Linked DNA regions of Macaca mulatta. The protein of the gene in region 6 interacts with the protein of the main gene of each other region in a pairwise test. Links are inferred from orthologs where the notes say so. Each region holds a gene or a part of one and is shown on either strand. Other genes may lie near its edges.

Region 1 (4,733 bases), on a different chromosome or scaffold from region 6:
CAAAAGTATCAAAAAAAAAGCAAAAATGAAATAATATATTTGAAAGGGGTTCACAGATCCGATAAAGACTATTTCCCTATCCCCAGGGGCAAAATCACTGAGGCCTAGCACAAGCTTTTAAAAATAACAGAGACTACAACAGAAATACATACAGAACCACAAAGCCTTGAGTAAAGTTGAATCACTTATAGAACTAAAAGCATCTCTTCTGCAGAAACTGGGGGCAAGGAGTAGTTACTTAGGGAAAAATATATGTAAGTATCAACAGAAGTTGCCCTTGATTGAAGCTTGGCTAAGCCCTTTACATTCGCAGGTGGGTGGCTGAGAGTTACTACTGATTCCAGACCCAGGCTCCTAGTTCAAATTTTGGCTCTAGCATTACCAGTTGTTTGACCTGGGGCTTTGTGCCTCAGTTTCCACATCTGTAAAAAGAAATAAGAAGGGGAGAAAAACAATACCTATCTCAAGGGTTGTTAACGTACTTAGCACACTTGTAACAGGGCCTGCCACACAGTAAGCCCTAGATAACTATTAGCTTATAATAGAAATCTGACACACATTTGTTGGGTAGTTAAAACTGTAAGCTGAGGAGTTTAGAGAAATCATAAATACTTTGATGCCTTAGTTTCCCCAGACGTAAACTGAAGACAATAAAAGAATCTGCTTCATAAGTCTGTTGTGATGCTTAATGAGACTGACACATAAAAACTCTTCCACAATGCCTGGCCCATAAGTGCTCAATAATGTGACAATGCCTGGAATATAGTAAGTGCTCGATAAATGTCAGCTGTTGTATTAACAGTTCTAGGAGGCAAAGATTACCATCGCCCTTTTTTAATTCTGAATAATAGACAACTCAGAGAGTGTTAAGTGCCCTGCCAACAAAACTATACTCAGAAAAATATTATACCAAGATTTCAACTCAGATAGGTCTGGAATCACAAGTTCTAACCACTATACTGTATACCTTCCTCTTTGAACAGGACTTAGAGAACAGAAGAGCTAATTCATACCTACCAGTTTACTAAGAGAAAGATGTTTGGAGATAACAATGCTAAATTTGGTGGATTCCCCACAGAGTCAACCACGAGCTTGGCCAAAAGCCCTTCTCCGCCATGCAAATGAGAATCTGCATAGACTGAACCCTGTTCTCAACCAGTTGTCTGCCTTTCGCCAAGTGGTTGTGAAACCACAGCCCTGTCACCAAAAATGGAAAAAAGAAGTCATTTTCCCCAGTAGCTTAACGAGCAAAATGAAGACTTAAAGTAGTGATCCCAGGGCTGAGAAAAGATATCCATTGCTCCAAAGCCAAGCAGAATTGCTGTAAAACACTAACGTTACTCTTTGATTAACATACTTTTATTTATTTTTTTTTAATGAACGTGCTTATTTCTATTATTTTAGGTTACCTAACTCAGGGGTACTTCCCATTAGTAAAATAAGAGGAAGTGTGTACCAGCCTGTAGGGGAGACTCCCTGGTGGGGCACAGTGTCAGACTAAGCAAGTCCCACTGTCAACACTGATGTCCTCCCCAGTTAAATGGTAATCAAAAGTGAAAATGAAATGGACTGGCAGAAGAAACAGGACGACCGGTCGAGTCCATGCTAATCACTGACATTTCACATCTTTTCACAGTTTCTTCTACTTGTATTTTATTTTTGTATTTTTATTAAAAACTGCCCTATCAGTCAATCTCAAGTCTACCCTTCCTTTAAAAAACAGTAATAAAAAAACCCTGTAATCCTAGGCAGGTGGATTGCTTGAGCTCAGGAGTTCCAGACCTGCCTGGGGCAACATGGCAAAACCCTGTCTCTACAAAAAAATACAGAAGTTAGCCAGGGTTGTGGTGGCCCGCACTCGTGGACCCGTGGTCCCAGCTACTCGGGAGGCTGAAGTGTGAGGATCACTTAAACCAGGGAGGCGGAGCTTGCAGTCAGCCAAGATCGCACCTCTGCAATCCAGCCTGGGTGACAGAGTAAGACCTTGTCTCAAAAGAAAAGCAAAAAAAGTAAATAATATTAAGAATAATGAAGGTCCAGCTATGTACCTACCTTAGGAACAGGCATCACTGCGAAGTGATGGCAGAGGCAAGGCAGGAGTCCCTGACCTCACCTCCATTCTCTCACTAAGAAGCCCCTGCAGAAGCTAGTCAACTATCAAAGCAGTCCCTGCTTCTTCCCAGTGAAGGCCTCAGCCTCCAGCCCAGCCCCCTCCCGGGAGAGGAGGGGCAGTTTATGCAATCCAAAACCAGTTCCCAGGCCCCAGAGGTGGACGTCTCCGGGGTGGAAGTCAGAAGCCCGCCAGGTTGTAGGCCTGGTTCTGCTCCCATCTGGCTGAATGATCCCGGTCACAACACTCGGACTCCCTCGGCCTTAGCCTCCCTGTCTGTAAAATGAAAGGTTTGATGGAGATCATGTGCCAGCCTCCTCCCCGTTCTAATTTTCTGATACCATCATTTTTAACGTGTCTTGCAGAGATAGAAGCCCTTCCTTTCAGCAGGACATATTGCTCCCCATTTCATGACGATCCCCCTCAATTATCCGTGTAATTTGAGAAAAGTATGATGCATCGGAACTGAAAAACAGGCTGTAGCTTTCCTGGTCACCAAATCTGATAATCAGTCAATAATATGGGTTTTCCCTCGGGCCTTCTCCCTCAATCCCACAATCCCACGAATAAACCTGCCTACCCCTCCCAATTCCTCAACTCAAAACTACCCGTTCATGAATTAAAAAAAAAAAAAAAAAAAAAAAAAAACCTCCCCACCCCCTTCTATCCAGCCTAGTGTAAGGTGCCACAGCACTTCTTCCGTAATCTAGAATCCACCTCTGCCCCACCCTCTCCCCGGGGTGTCTTTTTAGCCAGGAATCCCTGGATCCACACGCTCCATCTCCCCGCTCTGCCAAGCCAGTTGATCATTTCTCCCTGCCTGGCACCCGGCACACCTCGGCAGAAAAGGAGGCGGCGCCTCCACTCCAAGCCCAAGGGACCCAAACCTCTTTCCAACCCGCAAGGGTGCGGGCACCTGGGCGCAGCGGGAAGGGCCCGCGCCTCTGGAAAGAAGGGCCGCCGTCCCCACAAGGGCGGCGTAGGGGAGGCCCGTCAGCGGGTCTCTTGTCACTTACGGGCGGCTCCTCCGGGCAGAGCAGACCAGGGCCGGGCCGGGCTCGCGGGCAGCGGAGTTTGCTGACTCAAAGGCGCGCGGCGGCGGCAGCGGCGGCAGCGGCGGCGAGCGCCCAGGAGCGCACACGAGCGCAGCCCCGCGCTCCCCGCGCACGTAGCGGCCCCGCGCCCGCGCTCGGCGCCAGCAGTCCGCCTGTGGCCGCCGCGCCTAGTGCTTCCGCCGCCCCAGCGCAGCCCAGCCCAGGTGCGCCCCCGCCCTGTCGAGCTAGCCTCCTGCTTCCTGATATTGAGTTAGGGAGGAAATGCCCCCATTAGCCGGGAAGCTGAGGCTGGAGGTGATCCAGCAGCACCCTTCGGAATTCGCCACCTGAGTCACCTTAAGCTTCCTAATCCCCACCCCACAGTTATGGGGAGGATTGCCGATGTTGAGGGGAACGGATAAATAACGTGATAAACAAGAATGGCAGAATGTTCGTAGCATCTAGGTGGTGGGCTTATGGGTGTTTATATAAAATTACTTCAATTTTTGTCTGTTTGAAATGTCTCTTAATGGCGGAGCTTGCAGTGAGCTGAGATCCGGCCACTGCACTCCAGCCTGGGTGACAGCGCGAGACTCCGTCTCAAAAAAAAAAAAAAAAAAAAAAAGAAATGTCTCTTAATAAAACATTTGGGGGGAAAGCTAATGAGATCTGCCAAGGGACCTGACTGAGGAAAGCATTTCCCAAATGGCACCTGAGGCTGGGTCCCCACACCTGTTTGCATGGGAAACCGCAGCCATCACTTAAACTGCTAATAAGTGACTGAATGACACAGAATAATACACGTAGCCTAATATTTCATTTTCCAAGCATGAATTTTCCCATTAGACACAGTTTGTCGCTGATCATCCTCCAGGGACCATTCCAGGCCCACCTGAAAATGCATCTGTTCACCACACCTACATTACCTCCCTAACAAAATGTATAAATATGCAATGTTGTGTCTTAACATCTTGGATCTTGAAGCTGTATTGCTGAACCCTCAGTCATTGGTATTTAATTTCCTAAAATTGCACCCAAGTGATGACACACAAGTGAATGCAACCATGATCACTTTTGAAAATCAAATTAGGCCGGTGCGGTGGCTCACGCCTGTAATCCCAGCACTCTGGGAGGCCAAGGCGGGTGGATAACAAGGTCAGGAGATCGAGACTATCCTGGCTAACATGGTGAAACGCCATCTCTACTAAAAATAGAAAAACCGAGCTGGGCGTGGTGGCACGCACCTGTAATCCCAGCTACTCGGGAGGCTGAAGCAGGAGAATCGCTTGAATCCGGGAGGCGGAGGCTGCAGTGAGCGGAGATCATGCCATTGCACTTCAGCCTGGGCGACAGAGTGAGATTCTGTCTCAAAAAAAAAGAAAGAAAATCAAATTAAAGTGTATTTTTTATATTCTTGTCCCTATGCTCCACAAAGAAAAACATTGAGTAGAAAACAAAATGCAGCATGTATCTAAGATCCTAAGAGATTCTGTAAAATTAAAATCTTTCTGAACTTATTGTCAAGAGCATGACTTTACAGCTGTAGACAAAGCAGCAACGAACCCTTGGAGAGTCTACTGACAGTCATT
Region 2 (4,030 bases), on a different chromosome or scaffold from region 6:
CCTCCCAAAGTGCTGGGATTACAGGCATGAGCCACTGCACCTGGCTAACAGTTTTCTCTTTTTTTTTGAGATGGAGTCTCGTTCTGTCCCCCAAACTGAAGTGTAATGGTGCGATCTCGGCTCACTGCAACCTCCGCCTCCCGGGTTCAAGCTTTTCTTCTGCCTCAGTCACCCGAGTAGCTGGGAGAGTACAGGCGCGCACCATGCATGGCTAATTTTTGTAATTTTAGTGGAGATGGGGTTTTAGCATGTTGGTCAGGCTGGTCTCGAACTCCTGACCTCGTGATCTGACTGCCTTAGCCTCCCAAAGTGTTGGGATTACAGGCGTGAGCCACCGTGCCCAGTCCCAACAGTTTTTTTTTTTTTTTTTTTTTTTTTGAGACAGAGTCTCGCTCTGTTGCCCAGGCTGGAATGCAGTGGCCGGATCTCAGTTCACTGCAAGCTCCACCTCCCAGGTTTGCACCGTTCTCCTGCCTCAGCCCCTTGAGTAGCTGGGACCCGCCACCTCGCCTGGCTAGTTTTTTGTGTTTTTTAGTAGAGACGGGGTTTCTCCGTGTTAGCCGGGATGGTCTCAATCTCCTGACCTCGTGATTCACCTGTCTCGGCCTCTTGAAGTGCTGGGATTACAGGCTTGAGCCACCGCGCTCGGCCCCAACAGTTTTTTTAAACCCAGAACTATAATGCAATAATGTTAGCATTTGTTTTTGGAATTTGAGCCTAACTAGTTGAAAGGCAGTTAAGTTGCTCTTAAAATACATTTTATAAAAGTGTTTGGAATCATCTTCCTTACATTGTTTTCTCTAGGATGAAGACAACACCTGGCCAGGCATGGTGGCTCATGCCAGTAATGCCAGCACTTTGGGAGAATTGCTTGAGTCCAGGAATTTGAGACCAGCCTGGGCAATATAGCAAAACTCCGTCTCTACAAAAAAGAAAAAATTAGCTGAGTGTGGTGGCATGTACCTATAGTCCCAGCTCCTCAGGAGGCTCAGGTGGGAGGATTGCTTGAGCTGGGGAGGTTGAAGCTGCAGTGAGCCATGATCATGCCACTGCACTCAGCCTGGATGACAGATCTGAGACCCTGCTTGAAGGGGGGAAGAAAAAGACACCTGCTTGGGATAATTAAAGTTCTGTCTTGACTGGTAGTTATTTGAATCAGGTCCCTCCAATGCTAATTTAATCATGGTAGAATGTGCAAGCAAGTGAGTTTGTCTTACATGGAAGAGTTCTGTGTTCAAGGGCTTTAGGCCAGTGACATTCCTCAACATGGTGCTAAAGGCGGTAGGGAATGTGAAAAGTATGACATACTTCCTGCTCTCAACAGCTTGTAATTTTAGTATTATCGTAAGCTCAGTTGTAGGTACTACCTTCTTTTCTGGACTTCCAGGTACTTATTACTGTGCAATATAGTGGTATGAGTTGAGGACTAATGTTTCTATATCACATCCTGATAATCTCCACAGTTATGAAAACTAAACTATTTCCCCTCCCTCCTACACTTTTCCCCAACTTTATTTTAATGGAATTGTTTGGATTTCTTGATTGTTTTGTAATAGTGGGACACAGCAGGCCAGGAAAGATTTCGAACAATCACCTCCAGTTATTACAGAGGAGCCCATGGCATCATAGTTGTGTATGATGTGACAGATCAGGTAAGTTCCAAGAGGAGATTGTGTTACAGTGACCAAGTAGGAAGTCATTATTCGATTAATGTAAGATTCATTTACTACTTCGCATATAAGCCATCAGTATTAACTTTATGGCAGAAAACTTTGTCCACTCAAATATAAATGTGAATCACTTAAAAGACATTTTTTTTCCTGTAATAAATAGAACATTAGTAATAAGTTTTACATTTGCTTTCAAGGGATTCTGGTTGTATTTATTATGAACTAAATAACTGATCAAATAGCCAAGACTCTAACATATAGGCAAGAGTTTGTAGGGAATCGTGAGTTGCTTGACTTATATTGTATTCTTGGTGTTGTTAACAGGAATATGGCCTGGTAATCAGAATTGCTAAAAGAGGGATTTGCGGGTCTCTGCCTGTGGAGGATGTGGTTCAGAAAAAAAGGATTTGAATAGGATAAGCTGTAGGAGGATCTTAGTATGAGAATGAGTATCTGAAGATTAGCTGTGAGAGAGGGCAGGGTGATGGAGGGAACAATCTGGGACAGTGAAGCATGTACTCCAGGGGCCATAACTGTTTTTTTGTTATTATTATTTTTAATCAGAAACTTAGATTTCGATGTCCTTTCTATCAAAGGACAGAAGAGAAACATTCAAAATTGGAATTTATTTTTCTTTTGGCAAATGTTAAATCTCACCTCTAATATGAAATCATAGCTAATTAGGAGATAACTTACATGTAAACATTTTGATTCAGTGCCATTAGAAGTGCTGGGTGGGTGATATCTGCAAGAGAAAAAAATGATGCTAGTTTAAAAAAATCTCTAGTCATATTGCCGTGAAATACTTTTAAATGAAAACTTTCCTCCTGTAAATATGACTGTGGATAAGAAAATAAGTATATTTAATAACATTTTGACATGTCTAGTAGTAACAGTAGGTCATCTTATTCATAAACCAAAATTTTATCAAATTTCAAGCCGGGTGCAGTGGCTCACGCCTGTAATCCCCACACTTTGGGAGGCCGAGCCGGGTGGATCACCTGAGGCCAGGAGTTAGAGACCAGGCTGGCTAACATGACAAAACCCCATCTCTACTAAAAGTACAAAAATTAGGCCGGGCGCGGTGGCTCAAGCCTGTAATCCCAGCACTTTGGGAGGCCGAGACGGGCGGATCACGAGGTCAGGAGATCGAGACCATCCTGGCTAACACGGTGAAACCCCGTCTCTACTAAAAAATACAAAGAACTAGCCGGGCGAGGTGGCAGGAGAATGGCGTAAACCCGGGAGGAGGCTGAGGCAGGAGAATGGCGGAAACCCGGGAGGCGGAGCTTGCAGTGAGCTGAGATCCGGCCACTGCACTCCAGCCTGGGTGACAGAGCCAGACTCTGTCTCCAAAAGAAAAAACAAAAAAACAAACCAAAAATTAGCCAGGCGTGACAAAAATTAGCCAGGTGTGGGGGCGCGTGCCTGTAATCCTAGCAGTCACTTGGGAGGCTGAGACAGGAGAATCACTTGAGCCCAGGAGGCAGAGGTTGCAGTGAGCCGAGATCGTGCCATTGCACTCCAGCCTGGATGACAGAACAAGACTTTGTCTCCCCCCCCCCCCCAAAAAAAAAAATTATCAAATTTCAAAACCAGGTTTTGTAGTACATTTAAATTGCATATTCCAAAGCAGTTGGGTTTGCCTGAGTTGCAGTTTAATATTAAGCTGTCCCTTTCAAATAAGGTATTTTCATCATTAAGCCTGTAAATTCTAGTTTGTCATCATTTAGATATTTATAGTCATTTTAATATATCTGTTTACGGCCAGCCACAGTGGCTAACACCTGTAAACTCAGCATTTTTGAGGCCAAGGTGGGCCGATTGTTTGAGCTCAGGAGTTTGAGACCAGCCTGGGCAACATAGTGAAACCCCATCTATACAAGAAGTCCAAAAAAAAAAAATAGCCAGGTGTGGTGGCATGTGCCTGTAGTCCCAGCTATCCCGGAGGCTGAAGCGGGAGGATGGCTTGAGCTTGGGAGGTCGAGGGTGCAGTGAGCTGTGATTGTGCCACTGCGCCCTGGCCTAGGTAACACAGCAAGACCCTGTCTCAAAAAAAAAAAAAAAAAATCCCCTTCACTCCTTAGCAGTGGTTATTTTGTACCTAGAGTTGTCTCACTAGCTCTTTGTTATTTGTCTGTTAGGTCAGGAAGGTTGTTTCCATTTATTCCAGAACCATATTATCAAACTTTCAAATGTCTTTTTAGGAGTCCTTCAATAATGTTAAACAGTGGCTGCAGGAAATAGATCGTTATGCCAGTGAAAATGTCAACAAATTGTTGGTAGGGAACAAATGTGATCTGACCACAAAGAAAGTAGTAGACTACACAACAGCAAAGGTATGTTTAAAGTTTAATTTT
Region 3 (4,605 bases), on a different chromosome or scaffold from region 6:
TTACAGCGTGACTCTAACTACACCAAATCAGTTGTCCCTAGCAGGGGTTCATGTATGTGCTACCCCGGGACACAGGCAGTCAGCCCAAAAGAGGCCACACCGTTGCTCTTAGACTGAGAAGAACTGGCTGAGACCTCTCTACCACTCTCCTGCAAGGGCTGGTATGTTACAGCCCAAAAGCCTTCTATTGCTGGCCATGGTCTAGGCCAGACCTCGGACTGTCACACCGGACTTTTCTCTCTCTCCCAAAGGGCAAAGCCCTTGGCAGTCATCTCCAAGCATGGCTTTGGCATGTATTCCTTGAACAACTTCAGGCTAGCCAGAGTGTGAGGCCAAATCTTCTCCTATCTAGATCACGTGCTAGCTGCCAGGCCCTGCCATCTTCCCACAGACATGCTGGTCTCTCGCCTGCCAGCTCTGGTCCTGAGACTGCAGCAGCTTTACAAGAAGCAGGGTCACCATCTCCCCACTCTCACACGCTGCTCTGAGCTCCTTCAGAATCTGCCCTCAGAGGACTCCTCCATGAGCAGTGTCACAAGGCTTTGTCCTCTTGAAAATATCATCTTCCCAAAAAAAGCCTGTATTAAGCACTTATCTGCACGTGGTGTTGTGCTGAGTTCTGTTTCTAGTGAGTCACACTGTCACAGGCTCTGCCCTCTGGGAAAAAGTCTGGAATCTTTGCCAGAGACTGTAAAGTCCAGTTTGGCTAAGTACTGGGGTGTCAGAAGAGAAGGAATGGTTTAAAAATTCCTCCGAGACCACTGGGTGGTGACTCTTCCACTCGTGTTCATCTCCCATCCCTCACTTTCTAGCTTCCTCCTCCCTCCTTCTTTAGATTCCCAAACACTTCATTTTTTTCCATTTAAATTTCAGATGGGCTTATTTCCCACCTTTTAAATCCAGGGAACTCTTTGGCTTACTGTAACACTTGATTTTAAGCAAATGAGAGCATTAGGTTTTTGAGGGTTTAAGAGCCCATCCGTAAAGATATTTCTACTTTGGATTACAAAGGCATGTTTTAGAAATTCTAGAATCGTATAGCCTTACATTAAAGAAGCCAGACACACTAGAGGAAGTCTTAACCAAGCAAATGTCAACAGCCCCAGGAAAGGACAAAGACAAGATGCTGCCTTTGACTTTAAAAGGAAATGTAGCAATTCCCCTTCAAAATGCAAGGGGCAAAAAAGATCACAATTTCAAAATAATGTTCTATCTTCCTGACCCTGGGGCTCTCCCTTATCAGTACTGAGCTGTCCATCTTCCTGACATCTAGTGCGTTGGCCCAGTTTCTGAAGCCATTTTTAGAACATGTTCATTTTAATAATCAAGGAGTCAGAGTCTTGCACAGTTTCAAGTGTTTCATCAGTTACTCAGCCCTTCTCTCCACGTCACTCAGAGGAGGGGCCTTGTGGTCACTTTGGCCGTTTGACCAGCAAGAAGGAGGCTTACTGTTACCCCTGACTCTGTCTAGGATCCAACCATACGCTCAAGGAAAGGCCAGCTGTGAGCCTAGAGGAGTTGTCTTCAGTGATTCCATTGCCTTTATAGAGGCCCCCCTCTGCTCCCCTGACACAGGAAGTTGCCCTTGTTATGTCCTCCCTCCCTCCATGCCCTGCACATTGACATATTCGTGTCATATCAGGTTTCTACCTTTTCTGAATTAAAGGTGAGCACAAATGGTCAGACAAGAATATTTGCACTTAGCCTATTACATAAACTCATGGAGGGGGAGGATTGAGCATTTCCCTGGCCCTCGGTTAAGTCACTGCATTTTTACAAAGACCTTCTGAAGACAATACCAACAGAATGAATAAGGAGCAGTTCATGTATTAGATACCCCAGACAAGTAAAGAAAATACCATTCCAGGGGGCCTGTTACAATAAAAAACAAGTTTTGTTGATTACAAAGGGCTGGCTGGTGACCCTGCCTCAATTTCTTTAAAAGGGCTCATGGCTTTCTGCCAGAACCACCTCACTCCACCCCCATCTCAACTCAGCCCTAATCTTAACTATAAACTGCAATTTAAAATAAAGCAGCTTTTTCATTCTCCATGGATTTCCATCCTTTCCTTCCCTCTAATGACTTGAGGCTTAGCTGAAGTGGGGTTTTGCAGCCTATCGGCACCCAAGCGGTAGAAGAGACATCAGGATGTGTAAAGTGCTTTGGGATCCATCCCACAGACTAGGACCCAGAGATGCCTCCTGCCTCCCTCTGCCCACAGGTGCCGCTGCTCGGGCTAGGGGTCAAGGATGGGATCCAACATGCTTTTCCTGGCAGGACCTGTCAGGCAGGAGCAAAGGGTAAGAATGCAACCATTCTCGACCGCCCCAAAAAACTGAGTGATATGGGGACGGGACCCCGCTGAGAGAGGTGAAAAGGGGTGAGGAGGGGCCGAGGGTCCTCGGCTCAGCAAGAGGCGAAACCGCCACGCGCTGGGACGCTGGACGATGACAACCGCTACAGCTATGCCTCGGGCGAGGTCCCCTCCCAGGTCCCTCCCTTCCTGGACCTGACCCCCGGGATCACCTTGATCTTCTCGCCCTCGATTTCCACGGTCTTCTCCCTGAAGTCCACGCCGATGGTGGCTTCAGTCTTGTCTGGGAAGGTACCCCCGCAGAAGCGGAAGGTTAGGCAGGTCTTGCCCACGTTGGAGTCCCCAATCACGATGATTTTGAAGATGCGAATCTGCACGTACTGGTCCAGCGACGAGTCAAGCTCCAGGGACGCCAGGCCAGCGGCCGAGGCGGGCTCCAGGCTCCCATGGCCCAGGATGGGCTGCGCCATCTCCCCCGGACCGAACCGGGGCCCCAACCCCCCTCGAGGGCTCCACACAAAGAGAACGTCCACGTTCGTGCGCTCGAGGCGAGCGAGCTCTGTGCGCGTGTGTGTGCGCGCGTGTGTGTGTGTCCGCCCGTGTGTGCGTGCGCCGGCACCGTGTGCGCGCGCGCGTGAAGAGGGTGCCTCTCATTCCGGGCCCCCCTCCTCCTCCTCCAGCGCACCCTCCTTGCAGCTCGGAGGCACCAACACAAAAGCCAGGGAGAGGAGGAGAGAGGGAGGAGAGTGGACGAGCAGCGAGCCTTCTGCCTGTGTGCGCCCTCGGACCGGATGCTCTGGCGAAGGACCCTACGGCGCTGCTCCAGCCGCCGCCGCGCCTCGGCCCACACTCTCCCCTGCCTGCACCCCCGAGACCGACCGGAGGGAAGAAGCCTCAGGAGGAAAGGGAGGGGGTGGGGACAGCAGCACACGCCACCCCGGGATAGACTTCTTTCTCCTTGCCCCCATTTATGTTATAAGTTTCGGGCTCCCCACCCCCACTGGCTCGGAGCGCACGGGATCAGCGGGCAGGGAGCACAGCTGGGGAGGACAAAGAGCTGCACCCTAAGGCATCACTGGATCACTTCGGCCTCCCTGGAGCAACGCAACTCTGCAGGGATGGGGTGGGGGCTAAGGCACCTCTTTCACTTCGGGAGCAGCCGGCAGCTGAGCCGCGCCTTCCCGGTCCCCGCTACCCCGTCCCCTCTACCCCCACCCTCTACCCGACCCGCGCCTTGGGATAAAGGGATGTTCTGTCTTATTGAGTGAGCAGGTGCACTCACGGGCCCCAGGCAGCCTGAGCGGGCGCTGCCAAGACACGCAGTGGGTTGTCCCGGGCCTGCACAGTTGAGAGGAGGGAGCCAGCGGGCGCGCGTGTGCGTGTGTAGGGGGTGTTACTGTTTCTGTCACAGACTTGCCAGATGTAGGGGGGCGCGTACCAGGCGCCAACATCCCCTCATCACACCACGAGCACCCATCCTCTGAATGTTCAGGAGAGCGGCTCCTATTGGCTGCCGCAGTCGGTTGTGTTTGGCTGGCCAATGGGGAAGGCTCGCCGCGGGAGAGGGCCACACAGAGGCTAGGAGAAGGGGGGAAGCTAGTGGTGGCAGTTCCAGCAAAAGGGGACTTTGTTTATGGGGCTAGCCATTACTGGCCCAGGTGGAGGATCTTGGGACATGGCATAAGCTCCACAGTGCCTTCCACTCCCAAGCCCTCCATATAACCGTAAGTCCTTCCAGAAGGGTGGAGTTTCAGAGGGAGTTGGGAATCCCTAGGAGGGTTCACTCCCCCTGCAGCTGAATGTAGAACAAAGTGGTTGAGTCTAATTTGCCAGAAGCCTAGATTATGCTTGGAAGATGATAAATGAACACAATCTCCTTACAATATTAGGGGGCTGCTTCCCAAAGCTTACTAATCATCACACACATCTTGGTCAAGACCAGTATTCCCTCTCCCTAAAGTCATCCGCAGATTCAGAATTTGTTTGAAATCGACTTTATTGGGTACAATTTACATATGATAAAGTGCACCCATTTATTTTTAAGACTTCATCTCTCCCCCTACATATTTCATAAGCTAAGGTAACACTGACACATGTCACTAGCACTGACTTGTGAGTTATTGCTAATGCGATCAAGGTCAGGGATTCAAGCATCACAGTTGAGCTGCCATCTTATTTGGGAGGCTGAGCTGCAGGAAGAGACAAATATGACCAAATCCATTTCTGCTGAGAGAAAAACAGTTTAGTGCATAAGTGATATATCTGAGAGCAAACTGGAATGTAACTACTC
Region 4 (4,030 bases), on a different chromosome or scaffold from region 6:
CTCCCATGAATTTAATGACTTGGGAGGGAAGCCCCATCGTGAGCAATCGCTGACCTCTCGGGAGACCCCTCCATCAGACACACATCCCCCCATCAGCACCCAGGGCCGGCTCTTCTGCCGGTTGGTGGAGTGGGCGTCAAGGCTGCAGCTGCAAGCGCCGGAGGCCCCGGAACCACACTTTTCCTTTCTTCCCCTCCCCCCACCCCCGCCCCCGCGACACAGTTTTTGTTCTTGTTGCCCAGGCTGGAGTGCAGTGGCCCGATCTTGGCTCACCGCCCCCTCCGCCTCCCGGGTTCAAGGGATTCTCCTGCCTCAGCCTCCTGAGTAGCTGGGACTACAGGCATGTGCCACCATGCCCAGCTTTTTTTTTTTTTTCTCTTTTGTAGTTTTAGGACAGACAGGGTTTCTCCATGTTGGTCAGGCTGGTCTCGAACTCCCGATCTCAGGTGCCCAACTCGGCCTCCCAAAGTGCTAGGCTTATAGGTGTGAACCACCGTGCCTGGCTTTTTTTTCTTTTTTTTTTTTTTTGGAGTCTCTGTCACCCAGGCTGGAGTGCAGTGGTGGGATCTCGGCTCACTGCAATCTCCGCCTCCTGGGTTCAAGCGATTCTCCTGCCTCAGCCTCCCAAGTAGCTGAGACTACAGGCGCCTGCCACCATGCCTGGCTAATTTTTATATTTTTAGTAGAGACAGGGTTTCACCATGTTGGCCAGGATGGTCTCGAACTCCTGACCTCAGGTGATCCACCCGCCTCAGCCTCCCAAAGTGCTGGGGTTACAGGCCCCCACCATGCCGGGCCTCTGGAACCACATTTCATAAGCCCGGTTCTATGGTTAGGGCACACCCACCCAGCCCCTACACTGGGGAACCTTCCCTATCAGTGTAACGTCCTGCCTGGGCTCTAGAGCAGAGTGACCTGGCTCTGTCCACCGCCTGCGTTTGCTTGATAAAGCACCACTGGACCAGAGCCATGGCCGTCTGTCACCCTGTCTTCTGCAGCTGCCTCCACCTTACCACGGCACATGGGGCTGGCAAAGGTTTACTATCTGGCCGTGAAAGAATGAGTGTGTGGCCTGCCCTACAGGGCCCAGGCTGGCAGGCGGCCCCCTGGCTGCCTTCAGGTCAGGGGACTGTTACTACTGTCCCCGCCCCCACTGGAAGACGGTGCTGGGGTCTGAAGGGCTCTACTGAGACTGTGCAGAGTGGGGCTCACTGCACCCCCCAAGCCATCACAAGGGGACACAGTGCCAGAAGCCCTGGGGAGGGTCAGCCCAGGAGAGCAGTCCCGGAGGCTCCATTGCCCCGGCCTCAGGAGCACTGGATGCCCCTAAGCACTGGCCTTCATCTGAGCCTCAGGCTCCCCAGGAGGAGGCAGGCAGAGAGGGGTGCTTGGGGTGACCCCCGCTTCTCCAGACCCTACCCTTCGCACCTGGGCGTCTATACCACGCAGCCTGCTCAAGGCAACCAGCTTGACACCATCCCGGCTCCAAACACGTCCCTGAACTCAGGACAGAGGTGGCAAAACACTGGCCTGGGCATCTCACCTCATCATTCAGGAGGCTGACAGAAGTGCCAGGAGAGTTAAGGGTCCCAGGAGGCCACATTGAGCTGGGGAGTGCCAGGCCTCAGTGGGAAGGGCAAAGTTGGGAGAGGCTCCCGAGGGCAGGTGAGCCCCTGTGAGCACCCATGCCCCCTGGCCTCAGCCAGTTCAGGGCTGGCAGGTACTGACAGAGAGCTGTCAACTGCTGGGTAACCCTCCCCCCGAGACAGAACTGAGAAAGTACATCTGCTGCGGTATCTTCATTTATGCTTTAGAAACCCACGTACCAGACCCAACATCTCTCTTAAGTCAACCAAAAGAAGTGAATCCAGGTTTCACAAAGAACCCTGGCACGGACCACCCCGTGGACAGAAGCCAGGTGGCGAGGGGAGGAACGGGTCCGCCGCATGCAGGGAGCCCCGGCGAGGAGGAAGAGGCTGACCTTCAGAGGCAGGCTGGCTCCCCAGGAGGCTGGTGTAAGCGTGAATGTCTTTTTCTATGGCAAGAAGGTGGGCAGGCAGTGGCGAGAAGGAGCACCCAAGAGCCGGTGAGAGAACGGAAAGAAAGCAACATGGGTTACGGCACGCGCATCTGTCAGCACAGTTTGCAGATAACAGGATGCGAGCTCCCCGTCAGCGGAGTTTAGTGGAGAGGCCCAGGCTGGGCCAAAGCTCACCAGGAAACGCACCAGGGGTTTGGTCTGCACAGACGCCTGCAGGAGGAGGGCTGAAGTGCTGGCTCCCGATGAGCCACCACTCAGACCTTTCTGGGGATCTCAGTTATTGCATTTGGGGCTTTATCCTTGGTTTGAGTCCAACAATAAACGGAATGATACATTACAGCATTTAGAGCAGAGGAAATCATTACGACATGCTGAGGCAAATTTCCCTTTGTTGTCTTACGGTTTAAGTCTCCACTCACCTGGCGAGTTCTAAAGCCACTGAGTAAATACACGCCCCCCAAAGAGGAAAGGCAGGCTGTCCTGGAGACCCAGCAGACCCCGTTCCTCAGGGTGGCTGCCTGATCCCAAAAGTGGACGCTCCTCTTGTCACCCATGCATGGCACCAAACCCTCCTGGCTTAGGAAAGGACGTGCTGGCATTTACCTCCAGGAGGGAAGCCTTCTGTGAGGAGCTGCACGGTGGAAATGTGCACAATTTCGATTTCATAGTGGCTGTCTCCATCCAGAAACAAGTATCTACATCAAATAAAAGTGTCCAAATCGGGTCACTCTCAGGCTCAGTGCCACCGAGGCTCCCGGTCTGTGACAATGCTGCCCCGTGCCAAGCAGGATCTGGCTCTTACCTCTGGTTATTGGAAAGACGACAAATCATAGTTTCGGGTTTCTCTGAGTTTCCAAACGTGACGAGGAAGGTGGCTCCTTGGGAACACAAAAGCAAATGTGAGAACAGGGTCTGCTTCTTTTCCACCTAACCCTTCCCACGAGTACCAGCAGGAGACGCACACACAGAGGACAGAGTGAAAACATCAAGAAACAAACCACAGCTTTGTTCTAAGGACCTCTTCAGCTGAGCAAAAAGGCAGTCATGGATCAAGGGTTTAAGAGGTAAACGAAAAGGTCTGCTCTAAACAGGTTCTGCTTGCTTACAAAGCTCCTAGAAATTTTTTTACATCCTTCAAAGGATGCAGGGAATCCATCACCAAGGTCCAGATCAAAGAACAATAAACCCCTCTGCTCGCAGGTCCTAAGAGCTGGCAGGACCAAGACAGCAGAAAGGAAGCACAACAAAGCCCACTGTCCAGCCAGGCACCATGCCCGTTTCACACAGGGCGGAGCTGTGGGCGGGAAGGCAGGTGGTCCCAGACCCCATGGCGGGCAAGCTGGGGACAGGAGGCTGGGACGGAGTGGCCAGAGGTGGGCGGGCAGTGGGGAGAAGGCGCTGCTCAGAGATTCCGGGGAGGCACAACATAAGCCCCCGGAGAACGCCCTTCTCCCACACCAGGTCCCCAGAGATGGCTCAAAACCGGGTCTGCATCGTGCTACCGGGCAAAGGTCTACGGACCCTCATCGAGGAGCCACGGTGGTCGCAAAGGCCCCAGCGCCGGCGCCGGGTTCCACCTGGGGGAGGTGCTGCCTGGGCCCAGGGCCTCCCCTCCCACCTGATGGACGTGCCCAGCGGAGTCAGCACCCACATTTTAGACGACATTCCAACTCTGAAGAGAAGGGAAGGCTCTATAACTGCTTCTAAACGAATCCAGAAGAAAACAGGGAAGGGAGGGAAGGCGAGAGAACGTCAAAGAGAAGCAGAACGCCCTGTGCACAGCCCACAGCATCGCCACAGACACGAGGAGCCGGCTGGCGGCGCGCGCAGGACTGCAGGACCCGCGTCCTTACCGCTCAGGAGCACTTTGAGCTGCTTGTCGTAGAACTCCGCCTCCTTGTGGGACACCAGGGCGCACTCCGCGCACTGCCGCACGGGGTCCACAAAGCACATGCGCCGCAGCGGCACCTTCTGGCTGCAGCACCTGTC
Region 5 (3,223 bases), on a different chromosome or scaffold from region 6:
GTTGGTGTCACATTCGAGAGACGCAGCCCAGGCTTTGCCCTGACTGACTGTGCGGCCCTGTGCGAGTCCCTGCTTCTCTCTGGGTTGCGGGCTCCTCAGACATTTAATGGGGGTGGGGTTTCTTTGTCCTGCTCCTGGAGCAAAGTGGCAGCGTTGTGATAGTGGGGAGCTTTAGATGGGGAAACTGAGGCCCACAGGGGCGTGACTTACCTACCTACTCTGCATGAAGCTGTTTTAGCCATAGGGCCAGGGTGTTGGACTCTGGGACAATGAGAACTCGTCACCAAGCGCTCACTATATGTGAGGACCTGAACTGAGTGCCTTCTCAGGTGCTATTGCAGGTGAGGAAAGTGAGGCCCTGGGACGTCACACAGCTAGCTGTCGGTGGTGTTTTCTTAACTAATCACAGGCTGTTCCGACATGTTCCCCGCCCCTTCACTCTGCAGAGGGGCCTGCAGAAACTGGTCCTGAGGTGACACCACAGCTCAGCTCCCCAGCACCGCTGTGTCTGACACTGCAGGAGAGGCTGCTGGCCTTCGAGCGGGACCATGTGACCATCCCAGCAGCCCAGGTGGCTTTGGCCAAACAGCTGGCTGGCGACATTGCCCTGGAGCTGCAGGCCTACTTTCGGAGCAAGTTCCCGGAACTGCCCTTTGGGGCATTTGTGCCTGGGGGGCCACTGTATGATGGGCTGCAGGCAGGGGCCGCGGACCATGTGCGTCTCCTGGTGCCACTGGTGCTGGAGCCGGGCCTATGGAGCCTGGTGCCGGGCGTGGACACTGTGGCGAGGGACCCTCGCTGCTGGGCCGTGCGCAGGACTCAGCTTGAGTTCTGCCCCCGCGGGAGCAGCCCCTGGGACCGCTTCCTGGTCGGGGGCTACCTCTCTTCCCGCATCCTGCTGGAGCTACTCCGAAAGGCGCTGGCTGCCTCTGTCAACTGGCCGGCCATTGGCAGCCTTCTTGGGTGCCTGATCTGGCCCAGCATGGCCTCAGAGGAGCTGCTGCTCGAGGTGCAGCACGAGCGCCTGGAGCTCACCGTGGCTGTGCTTGTGGCAGTCCCTGGGGCCGATGCTGACGACCACCTCCTCTTGGCCTGGCCCCTGGAGGGGCTGGCGGGGAACCTCTGGCTGCAGGACCTATATCCAGTGGAGGCTGCAAGGCTGCGAGCCCTGGACGACCATGACGCTGGGACCCGCCGTCGGCTGCTGCTGCTGCTGTGTGCTGTCTGCCGTGGCTGCTCGGCCCTGGGGCAGCTGGGCCGGGGTCACCTGACCCAGGTGGTCCTACGTCTGGGGGAGGACAATGTGGACTGGACGGAGGAGGCCTTGGGTGAGCGCTTCCTGCAAGCCCTGGAACTGCTCATCGGCAGCCTGGAGCAGGCCAGCCTGCCCTGCCACTTCAACCCCAGCGTGAACCTCTTCAGCAGCTTGCGTGAGGAGGAGATTGACGACATTGGCTATGCGCTGTACAGTGGCCTACAGGAGCCTGAGGGGCTGCTGTAGGTGGGTGGGAACGGGTGGCTGGCGTGTTTTCTAATGCTGGGAAGCTGCGCCCACCTCCCTTCCGGGGATTTGAATAGTGGTTTTTCTCTAGCTTTTAGCCAGAACAAAAGAGGGTACATTACTTAAACCCAGGGCATCGGGATGTGCTTGGGCTATGGTGGCCGTAAACCCTGAGCCCAGAGAGCTTGGGTCACTGTCACCTGAGTACGGCTGGGCTGGCTCAGGCAGCTTGGAGTGCCAGCCATTTCTGCAAGCACCTTTTCAGCCCTTGGGGCCAACCCCAGGACCTTGGCTCTGTCCATCACCAGCAACCAATCCACCGACAGAATGTGGTTTCTGCCATCCTGGGCAGAAGCTAAAGGCCAACTTCACATTTCTGCTGAGAGAAGGCGACTTACCGCCTTCTCCGGCCCCAGCTCCAGGCGTTTTGAGGCCTCTGGTGCCTGGTGGTAGGTATGGTGTGTTTGTTCTGTCCCCCGGGCGCTGGAGTCACCTGGTGTCCCTGAATGACAGCTTTTTGGCTGTTAAAGGATGGCGTTTTCCTGCTGTCTTCTGTGCGTTTAGTTTTCTTGTTGTGTTCTCGAGCCCTGGAGCAGGAGCTCAGTGTGACTTGCTACCCACCTGATACCTCAGGGCAAGGCCCTTTTTCCCTCCAGCCAGGTGAGTGTTTTCTTCAAGCAGCTGAGGGCCCTGGGGGAGCTGAGGCTCTGTGCTGCGCCCCCAGCCCACAGCTGGGGCATATCACTGGAGCTCTTCCAGGCCCCACTGGAGAGCAGAGGGCCTGATCCCCCACCAGAGGGGTCCGGTGTGCAGAGCCGGCCTCCCAGTGTGCCAAAATGAACTGCTCTCAGCCGATGGCTGTATTCTGACTTTGAAGCCCGTTAGAGGTAGCAGGGGGGCTAGAGGAGGGAGATTCCACCTCCCTTCCCAAGTGATCCTCCTCCTGCCTCTGGTATCCTTCCTGCTGAAATGAAGCTCTGCTTCGAAGAGGTGAACAAGAATAAAAGAAAATTCTAACGTGTAACTCAGGCTGGATAAGGGGGTCTTGGCGCTTTCACACGTAGCTGTTGGGGGTTTTCTGTAAGTCCTGTGGCTTGTCCTGGCACTTAGGCAAGGGTGCTTGAGGTCAATTGGAGGTGGTAGAGTTTACTTTAAAAAGTAACATCTTGGCCGGGCGCGCTGGCTCAAACCCATAATCCCAGCACATTGGGAGGCCGAGGCGGGTGGATCCTGGGGTCAAGAGATCAAGACCATCCTGGCCAACATGGTGAAACCCCATCTCTACTAAAAAGATAAAAATTAGCTGGGTGTGGTGGTGGGTGCCTGTAGTCCCAGCTACTTGGGAGGCCAAGGCAGGAGAATCGCTTAAATCCGGGAGGTGGAGGTTGCAATGAGCCGAGATCACACCACTGCACTCCAGACTGGCGACAGAGCAAGACTCTGTCTCAATAAATAAATAAATTAATTAATTAATTAAAAAGCATTTTGGCCAGGTGCCGTGGCTCACGCCTGTAATCCCAGCACTTTCGGAGGCTGAGGTAAGTGGATCACCTGAGGTTGGGAATTCAAGACCAGCCTGACTAACGTGGAGAAACTCCGTTTCTACTAAAAATTCAAAAAATATTAGCTGGGCGTGGTGGTGCATGCATGTAATCCCAGCTACTTGGGAGGCTGAGGCAGAAGAATTGCTTGAACCCGGGAGGCAGAGGTTGTGGTGAGCTA
Region 6 (4,571 bases):
GTGCTCTGATTCCCGAGTCCTAGAGAACCATCAAACCTGGGGTGCTCTCTGATTCCCGAGTCCTAGAGAACCATCAAACCTGGGGTGCTCTGATTCCCGAGTCCTAGAGAACCATCAAACCTGGGGTGCTCTCTGATTCCCGAGTCCTAGAGAACCATCAAACCTGGGGTGCTCTCTGATTCCCGAGTCCTAGAGAACCATCAAACCCGGGGGTGGTCTCGGGGACCCCCGGCACACTGTCCTTCTCAACTCTTTTCTCCTCCTCAGCACTCACCACCATTGGGCATCCCATTAATATTTTACCTGTTTACCTTATCATCTTGCCCACACCCCAGGTTCCACCCCAACCCTGATCTGCACAGTATTCCCAGCTGCACCCATAGAGACCCACAGAAGATGCTAGGGGAGTATTTCCTGAATGACACCCGTAACAGCTTTATTTTCAAAGGCGGGATCCCTCCCCGGGCTTGTGATGGGACGGCGCTATGGGCCCGAGCAGCAGAGCTGTGCAGGACAGGAGTAGGCAGGGGCGGGGCAGCTGGCCCGGGAGGCTGGCAGGTCCCAGAAGACACCTCACACGGGTTCCATCTGCAGCTCCTCCCCGTCCACAGCCTCAATCTGGTGGAAGGCAGCATGGGAGCCGATGACCACCAGGGTGGCTCCTGCAGGAAAGCCGGCAGCTCAGGGCCATGCTCCTGTACCTGGCCCCCACCATCCACCCCAGCTGCTCAGACCCTGTACTCACCCAGCACCCAGAAGACGGCCGAGCCCGCACCAGCCAGCCAGAAGAAGGGGAAGGAGATGCCTCCAGCCAGAGCGTACTGATGCGCTGGGCTCACCTCTCGGCCTGAAAGCAGATGGCATTGGGGCGCTGTTCCGACCCTTCATGCCCTCTCCCAGAGTAACCCCTGCTGCCCCCCAACAATCTGTATAAGCTTCAGGTCCTCGGGATCAAATCCAAACTCCTCATGCCAAGGCCCTCCAGGTCCTGGGGTCACCCTGCTCCCCTGGTGTCCTCACTGCCCTCCAGAACACAGCACACCGTCCTCGCCTGCCTCAGCCCCACGCTCTGCCCTCTGCCCCACATCCTCCAGGAAGTTCCTGGGATCCCAGCTTCCTGCTCCCTAGACTAGGGCTCTCCTGCTGCAACCCTCACGCAGACCAGGGGTCTCAAACTGGTGGCCCAAGGGCCAAATCTGACCTGTGGATGTGTGTTTGTTTTGAGATGTTTTACAAGGATGTGATTTGTGGCTGGCAAAGTGAATGATTTCACATAAAAATACCAACTTCAGGCTTCTCATAGAAGTCTCAGGGATGGGGTCTGCATGCTCTGGTGCCTGTGCTGCAGGCGCTCCCTCCCCCTAAGCCCGTCATGCACATAACTTGCAGGCCCCTGAAGAGCCTGGCCTTCAGGTCTACCTGACAGCCCAATCCCAACTCCTTGACCCCACTCCAAACCTTGATTTTCCCCTGGGGGGAATTTCCCCTGGCATTTTGTTCTCCCAGTGGTCCTTGGTACTAGTCTGGGAACCACATGAAACACACTCCTCAGCTTCCCCAAGTTCCAAGTTCTTTCTGGTCACATCCCAGAAAGCAGGAAAAGAAACGGGAACAGATCTAGGCCAGTGTAAGTTCGCCACCTGGTGTCCAGTGTGGGCACCTGCAGCTGATGCTTGCCGCAGAAAGCGGCAAGGGGAGGAGAGAGGGGAGGAGTCATGTGGTTTGAAGAGGAGTAGGTTTAAGGCACAGCAGCCAGGTGGAGCCTAGGTTTGAGGAATAGCAATTTGAGGGGGCTGAGACTCGATGGGAGCATCGGTTGTGTCTGAGATTTTTAAAGGATCAGGTTTGGGAGATCTAGTGTTCATCTAGGCTTCGGCGGACTTGGGTTTTGAAGGACTTGGATTTGGGGTCTGAGGTTTGCATTCCAAAAGACCAAGATTCGAGGGACCAAGGATTCATCTGGGCAGGGGGTTTCTCACCAAAAAGCACAAGCTTGGACTGCAAGGTGCGCAGATAGAGAATGTAACAGGCGCCGAAAAAGACAGCCAGAGCCACCAGCAACATAGGGGACGTCACCCTGGAGGAGGAGTGCAGGGAGGCAGCGGTTAGGCAGCTGGGGCTGGTCAGCCAGGGAGCCCTGGCCTTCTCCACCGGCGGGAGGCAAGCTACATTCTGGAGACCAGGGAGGGCCAGGTGACATTCAGTCACACTGCATCCTGGCCAGGGTGATGGTGGGGTAGGGACCTGGCCCTTTGGTGACAAAGTAGGTCTAGCAGAGCCAATCCTTGGGGGCGGGGCCGGCCTAGGCGGTGAGAGGAGGGGCCTGGGCGGTGAGGGGAGGGGCCTGGGCGGTAGGAGGGGGCCCTGGGTGGTGAGAGGAGGGCCCGGGCGCTGAAGGGCGGGGCCTGAGCTGTGAGAGGAGGGGTCCACCCGGTCGGGGCTAGTGCGGGTGCAGGGCCCGGGATGCACTCACACGCAGTACAGGATGAGGCCCAGGAACACGAACACATAGTTGCTCTGGTAGTACTCCACGTTGCGTACGAGGCGCTGGCACAGCTCGCCCAGGTTGCGGGGCCGTGAGAAACGCTGCTGGTCCACGAAGGTGCCCCACGGCCGGATAGTCGCGCGGCGCCGCTCCAGCCACTCCCGGCCTGCACCGGAGGGAATCAGCTTCGGCAGCAGGGTCCTGCGAGGGGTGGGGCCGGGTCAGTGGTGGACCGGGATGGAGCCTCAGACCCCCGCAAAAGAAGGGGTTTAAGGGGGCTTGGACTCCCTCCCGGGACCCCAGATTACTGAATCACAGGCGGGGAGGGGGGTAGGGGCCCAGACGCCAGGGTCCCATTAGAGGAGACCGGGGCCAGCGCTTGTGCGTCTCGGGGCTGGGACTCCGGGCACTCGAGGGAGGAGGGGGCCAGGGTCCCGGACTCCCGGGCCTCGGGTCCGAGGGCCTAGAGCCGGCTCGCTCACGTGGCGCTCAGCCCTTCCGCCTCGACATCTTTCTGCTGGTCCTTCTGGGCTGCCATGTCTGCGTCGTGAGGGGTAGAGCTGCTGTAACCAGCCCGGTACCCTGCAGACCCCGCCGGCCCCGCCCGAGGCCGGCCCCACCCAGCGGAGTCGACGTGGCGCCGCTCGGGAGCAGCTGGGGACTGTAGTTCTGCCGCCGATCATTGTGGGAGTTGTAGTCCTGACGGTGGCTGGGAGGGTGGGCGCCATGATGGCGGTCTGACTCGCAAGACACCTTGGGAGATATAATCCCAGAAAGTGACGGCGCGCACCTCTGGGCATTGTGGGACCTGTAGTTTCAGGAGGGTGCAGGTGCGCTGTCAGGAAAGAGGGCGTTATGGGAGCTCTAATGGCAGAAGAGGGTGTTGTGTACTCTCCCAGGCAGGGCACAATGGGGACCGTGCAGAGCTGTCGTTCTGACTCTAGAGGGCATAAAAAAACAACTAGAGGGCTTGCTAAAACAGACTCCTGGGCCCCACCCCAGATGTTCTCATTCAGCAAGTCTGGGGTGGAGCCCATAATTCGCATTTCTGAGTTCCCAGGTGATGCTGATGCCGCTGGTCCATGGACCACATTTTGAGTAGAAAGATTTAGAGAGTTTGTGGGAATTGATTCCTTCCTCAAGAGATTGAGGCTAGTGAGTGGGTCATGGTTGCTGGAGGGGTATCTGAGGTTGCCCCCTGCCCCACTTTGTGGAGTCCCAAAGATGAATGAGTTGGGACTAGGGACACCTCCGCACCGCCACCACCCCCCCCCCCACCTGCAAACACACACACCTTTGGACAGGAGGGAGTGAAATTGGGAAAGAGAAAAGGTTGGGAAGTTTTGTGGGTTTTTCTGGGATGGAGTCTCACTCTTGTTGCCCAGGCTGGAGTACAATGGCACAATCTCAGCTCACTGCAACCTCTGCCTCCTGAGTTCAAGCGATTTTCCTGCCTCAGCCTCCCAACTAGCTGGGATTACAGGCGTGCACCACTATGCCCAGCTAATTTTTTGTATTTTTAGTAAAGACGGGGTTTCACCATGTTGGCTAGGTTGGTCTCGAACTCCTGACCTTGGGATTCGTCCACCTCAGCCTCCCAATGTGCTGGGATTACAGGCATGAGCCACTGTGCCTGGCCCCAAGTGACTCTTTTAGGCCCAGGTCTTGTCTTCCAAGATCTACGGCACTTCAGGGTTTGTGCTTGGAAGCCTGCTGGAAGGCGTTCCCAGGAGGTGGGGGGAAGATGGCCCTGTCCAAGGGGCTGGTGGCGCAATAGGCAGGGAAGCCCTTTGCAAGGGCCCCACACTGAAGATGGAAGAGTTACACTTTGAAGATCAGATTGGCTAGTTACTATTTATTTCCTCTTTGTCACCCCCAGGCTTTTAGTGGAATCGGGTTTTCTTTTTCATTTTTGAGACGGAGTTTCGCTCTGTTGTTCCAGCTGGAGTGCAGTGGCACAATGTCTGCTCATTGCAACCTCCGCCTCCTGGGTTCAAGCGATTCTCCTGCCTCGGCCTCCTAAGTAGCTGGGATTACAGGTGCGTGCCACCATGCCTGGCTAATTTTTGTATTTTCAGTAGAGACG
Region 7 (4,030 bases), on a different chromosome or scaffold from region 6:
CTTTTGTTCATCAGGGTATCAGCCTGTCCCCAGTAGAGGGGACCAAGGCCAGAGCAATCCAGAAGTCGTCTGTGGATCAAAAACTGGCCATGATGTATTTGATAGATAGGGTTCATGTGCTTCTGTAAAAACAGCCTTACCGCCGGGTGTGGTGGCTCACACCTGTAATCCCAGTATTTTGGGAGGCCGAGGTGGGCGGATCACGAGGTCAGGAATCGAGACCATCCTGACTAACATGGTGAAACCCTGTCTCTACTAAAAATACAAAAATTAGCCGGGCATGGTGGCGGGCACCTGTGATCCCAGCTACTCGGGGAGGCTGAGGCAGGAGAATGGCGTGAACCCGGGAGGCGGAGCTTGCAGTGAGCCGAGATCGCGTCACTGCACTCCAGCCTGGGCGACAGAGCGAGACTCCGTCTCAAAAAAAAAAAAAAAACAACAACAATAACAAAAAAACACAGCCTTACCTTCCTAATTATGTCATTAGGTACACACTCACTTTAGTTTGTGAGCTCTGGGTCACTGGTCCTATTTCCCTCTTGACTCCAGTTGACCTAGAAATCCAAAAATCCCCTCCAGAAAGTTTCCCTGAAGAATGCTAGGCCAACAACACCAGGCTGAGGGTAGAAATGCTCCAAGCCTTGGAATAATCTTAGAATAGGAGACTTCGAGAATCTCAGGGGTTTTCTGAAGCCTTGCAGCTCCAGGCTCTGGGGACTCTCCCCATGGGCTGAGTGAGTCTCACTGGAGCTGCGTGTGAAGGGTCTTGAAAAGATCCTGGTTGGACAGTTGCTCATGCCTATAATCCAGCGCTTCAGGAGGCCGAGGTGGGAGGACTACTTGAGTGCAGGAGCTTGAGACCAGCCTGGGCAACATAGTGAGAGCTTGTCTCTAGAAAAAATCAAAAACTTAGCTGGGCGTGATGGTGCATGCCTGTGGTTCTGTCCCAGCTATTCGGGAGGCGGAGGTGGGGGGATCGCTTGGGCCTAGGAGGTAGAGGCTGCAGTGAGCCACGATCACACCACTGCCCTCTAGCGTGGTGACAGAGCCAGACCCTATCTCAAAAAAAAAAAAAAAGAAAAAGAAAAAGAAAAAAAAGAAAGGAAAAAAAAAAAAGAGAAAATAGAAAAGCTCCTGCCCAGGCAGGCGCTCAGCTGACACAAGGACAGAGCACTTGGATGCCTGCCACCCAGAGGCCAGACACAACAGCCCTGTGACACCAACACTGCCTTTCCCTCCCATTCCTTCTTCCCACTCCCCAACCCTGGAGAGGCAGTAGCAGGAACAGGAGGAAGCAGAACGAGAAAAGTGAGAGGCAGGGCACTTTGGCTCATACCTGTAATCTCAGCACTCTGGGAGGCCGAGGAGGGTGGATCACTTGAGGGTCAGGAGTTTTGAGACCAGTCTGACCAACATGAAGAAATCTCATCTCAACTAAAAATACAAAATTAGCCAGGCACCATGGCGTGTGCCTGTAGTCCCAGCTACTCGGGAAGCTGAGGCCAGAGAATCGCTTGAACCCGGGAGGTTGCAGTGAGCAGAGATTGCGCCACTGCACTCCAGAATGGACAACAGAGTGAGACTCTGTCTCAGAAAAAAAAAAAAAAGAATAACAGACATGGGCTCTCGCTATATTGTCCAGGCTGGTCTTGAATTCCTGGGATCTCCCTGCCTCAGCCTCCCAAAGTGTTGAGATTACAGGTGTGAGCCAATGTGCCAGGCCTTGGCGAATTTTAGAATGAAAAACTCCAGTGCCTCAGAGCTTGGGACTGTCAAGTCCCAGGATCTCACAGCAAGAAGGTGCCCAGGACCCTAACCTCCATCAGGGGGCCCTTCAATCTCCGGCATCCCCAAATGCCAGTGGCTCCAGGCCCCCAGAGGGGTTTCCCTTTGCAGCTGCTCTTTGAGCTCAGAACTCACTTCCATTGACCAGCAGGCTTCTTGCCTTCAGGATCTGCAGCCAGACCCTGGCCAGCCAGGAAATCCCACCACGAGCTTACAGCGAAGGAACTAAAATGTCCCAGAGCAGTGTGACCCGGCTCTTTCCAAAGCCTTCTCAGTGAGATGGCCCCAACGTGGGAAGTGCCTCCTTTCCTTCCTCATGGCTACTTGTTGCACAGGTGCATCCAGCACACCACACCACGAGCCCTGGCACGGAGCTGCTCATTCTCACTGAAGCTGCTCTTGGTCCACAGGGCAGCACTACTGAGGGGACGTCTTTCCCAGATCTGCGCAGGCACTGAGCAGGCTAGTGGGGCTCTGCCCTCCTCCCTGTCCTAAGGATGTCCTGCCCTGGCTCCTTCCCGGCTGACCCAGCTCATTACCTTCTTTGGAGAAGGGGTCGAAGAGGGCCAGCTCAGCCTCGGTGAGGGGGACTCGGGCAGGGGAACCAGACGCTTCCTCGGTGCTCTCACAGTTAAAGAGAAGATCCAGGGCCTCCTGGGCAGGGCTGGATGGTGGGGGGTCCACTGAGGAAGAGATAATTGGGGTCATGAATACCCGCATTTATTTCTCAGCTTTCAAAATGGAATTACTCTCTCTCTAAACCCTTGCAGCAACCATGGGCATAGACAAGCCCGTTATTAGGGTTTATGCCCATTTTACAGATTAAGAAACTGTAGTGCAGAGAAGGAAAAGGACCTGCCCAAAGTTCCTCAGCCAGTCAGTGATAGACCTGGACACACGCCCATTTCTCACTAAGACCACTGAGGAGTGAGTGTGGCCCCCTCCCCACTCTGTACCCTCCAGCCTTGGTTCCCTCCTCCCACCCTGATGTACCTGGCACCTCCAATTCCTCAAGGCCCCTCCTTTCTGCAGGGAGCGGCTGGGGTAGCCGGGGGTCATCAGGGGGCGGGGTGGGGATCAGAGGGGGTGGCAGGATGTGCAGGTCCCTGGACATCTCCGAGGGTCGGGTCACCTCCCCACCCTGCAGGACAGAAAGATCAGCCATGGGGAGTCATGGGGTGCAATCTGGTGGGTGGGTAAGTGGCCCAAGTTCTGGTAAGGTGGAAGGTGCACATACCCTGAAGAACTCCTTGAGCTGGGGGCTGTTGTTGAGCGCAGGTATGTGCACGGTGAAGCGAAGCAGGTCCTCTGCCCCCTTTCGCCGCTCCTCGATCACTGAGGCTTCAAATCGGCCTACAGCCCCCAGGACAAGGAACAGGGGAGAGTGGCGGTGACCTATAGGGGCTTCTGCCCTAAGGCCACTTTTCCTGGTCCTGCCTGAGATGCTCTGAGCAACTCACTGCCCTCCTACCCCTTCTCCCAGGAATCTTCTCTGGCTCCTCCTGGGGTGAGGGAGGGGCTTCCAGGACAGATCAATTTCCCTATTCATTCATTTGCCAGATGTTTACTGAGCACCTACTATATGCTAGACTCAGAAGGTGAACAGGGGAGGAACAAGTCTCTGCCCTTGTGAGTATCACATCCTACACAGGGGGAGCTAGGTAGTTAACAAGAAACAAAAACATTTCTGATGGCTTTGATCTAATGAGGAGAAAAGTAAGGCTCAGAGAGGGAAAGTGACTTGCCCAAGGTCACACAGCAAGTAGCCCCCATTTGTTTTTTGAGACAAGGCCTGGCTCTGTTATCTAGGCTGGTGTGCAGTGGCACAATCTCAGCTCACTGCAACCTCTGCCACCTGGGATCAAGCCGCCCTCCTGCCTCAGCCTCCCAAGTAGCTGGGACTATAGGTGCACACCACCATGCCTGGCTAATTTTTGTATTTTTTGTAGAGATGGGGTTTTACCATGTTGCCCAGGCTGGTCTTGAACTCCTGAGCTCAAGTGATTACCTTGCCTTGGCTTCCCAAAGTGCTGAGATCACAGGTGCGAGTCACAGTTTCACTGCTCTGTCCTAGGTATTATGCAGTGCAGGCTAACTCTGGTCCAGTTACTGTGTGGCCATTCTGTGGTACTTCCCCACTGGCCTGGCATAACCTGACAACAGCAATCTTTCACCTTGCCTCAAAAGAACAAAAGAACATCTTGGCCAGGCGTGGTGGCTCACACCTATAATCCCAGCATTTTGG

Evidence for each region.
Region 1: the proteins of RABAC1 (region 6) and SNX10 interact in binary tests that used the Homo sapiens proteins (3 or more experiments, as listed by UniProt). The two-hybrid records come from large-scale screens. The link is inferred for Macaca mulatta from reciprocal best matches to the Homo sapiens genes RABAC1 and SNX10.
Region 2: the proteins of RABAC1 (region 6) and RAB1A interact in a two-hybrid assay, tested with the Homo sapiens proteins (2 studies listed by BioGRID and IntAct). The link is inferred for Macaca mulatta from reciprocal best matches to the Homo sapiens genes RABAC1 and RAB1A.
Region 3: the proteins of RABAC1 (region 6) and RAB33A interact in binary tests that used the Homo sapiens proteins (3 or more experiments, as listed by UniProt). The two-hybrid records come from large-scale screens. The link is inferred for Macaca mulatta from reciprocal best matches to the Homo sapiens genes RABAC1 and RAB33A.
Region 4: the proteins of RABAC1 (region 6) and ZFYVE21 interact in binary tests that used the Homo sapiens proteins (3 or more experiments, as listed by UniProt). The two-hybrid records come from large-scale screens. The link is inferred for Macaca mulatta from reciprocal best matches to the Homo sapiens genes RABAC1 and ZFYVE21.
Region 5: the proteins of RABAC1 (region 6) and MIEF2 interact in binary tests that used the Homo sapiens proteins (3 or more experiments, as listed by UniProt). The two-hybrid records come from large-scale screens. The link is inferred for Macaca mulatta from reciprocal best matches to the Homo sapiens genes RABAC1 and MIEF2.
Region 7: the proteins of RABAC1 (region 6) and SNX15 interact in binary tests that used the Homo sapiens proteins (3 or more experiments, as listed by UniProt). The two-hybrid records come from large-scale screens. The link is inferred for Macaca mulatta from reciprocal best matches to the Homo sapiens genes RABAC1 and SNX15.

What each region holds. Positions count from the first base shown.
Region 1 is NC_133408.1:102,074,406-102,079,138, forward strand, and holds the start of SNX10 (sorting nexin-10), read right to left. Parts: upstream 3,204-4,733; 5' UTR 3,127-3,203; intron 3,041-3,126; exon of another isoform or gene 2,053-3,040; intron 1-2,052. UniProt on the Homo sapiens protein: Probable phosphoinositide-binding protein involved in protein sorting and membrane trafficking in endosomes. Plays a role in cilium biogenesis through regulation of the transport and the localization of proteins to the cilium.
Region 2 is NC_133418.1:59,625,578-59,629,607, forward strand, and holds part of RAB1A (ras-related protein Rab-1A), read left to right. Parts: intron 1-1,556; coding exon 1,557-1,652; intron 1,653-3,877; coding exon 3,878-4,009; intron 4,010-4,030. UniProt on the Homo sapiens protein: The small GTPases Rab are key regulators of intracellular membrane trafficking, from the formation of transport vesicles to their fusion with membranes.
Region 3 is NC_133426.1:136,626,073-136,630,677, reverse strand, and holds the start of RAB33A (ras-related protein Rab-33A), read right to left. Parts: upstream 3,039-4,605; 5' UTR 2,786-3,038; coding exon 2,528-2,785; intron 1-2,527.
Region 4 is NC_133412.1:177,149,023-177,153,052, reverse strand, and holds part of ZFYVE21 (zinc finger FYVE domain-containing protein 21), read right to left. Parts: coding exon 3,895-4,030; intron 2,920-3,894; coding exon 2,844-2,919; intron 2,737-2,843; coding exon 2,645-2,736; intron 2,036-2,644; coding exon 1,982-2,035; intron 1-1,981. UniProt on the Homo sapiens protein: Plays a role in cell adhesion, and thereby in cell motility which requires repeated formation and disassembly of focal adhesions.
Region 5 is NC_133421.1:19,848,303-19,851,525, forward strand, and holds the end of MIEF2 (mitochondrial dynamics protein MID49), read left to right. Parts: intron 1-446; coding exon 447-1,501; 3' UTR 1,502-2,525; downstream 2,526-3,223. UniProt on the Homo sapiens protein: Mitochondrial outer membrane protein involved in the regulation of mitochondrial organization.
Region 6 is NC_133424.1:52,997,773-53,002,343, forward strand, and holds RABAC1 (prenylated Rab acceptor protein 1), read right to left. Parts: upstream 3,090-4,571; 5' UTR 3,024-3,089; coding exon 2,968-3,023; intron 2,687-2,967; coding exon 2,474-2,686; intron 2,078-2,473; coding exon 1,980-2,077; intron 848-1,979; coding exon 746-847; intron 663-745; coding exon 574-662; 3' UTR 425-573; downstream 1-424. UniProt on the Homo sapiens protein: General Rab protein regulator required for vesicle formation from the Golgi complex. May control vesicle docking and fusion by mediating the action of Rab GTPases to the SNARE complexes.
Region 7 is NC_133419.1:9,347,433-9,351,462, forward strand, and holds part of SNX15 (sorting nexin-15), read right to left. Parts: intron 3,139-4,030; coding exon 3,023-3,138; intron 2,927-3,022; coding exon 2,779-2,926; intron 2,469-2,778; coding exon 2,325-2,468; intron 1-2,324. UniProt on the Homo sapiens protein: May be involved in several stages of intracellular trafficking. Overexpression of SNX15 disrupts the normal trafficking of proteins from the plasma membrane to recycling endosomes or the TGN.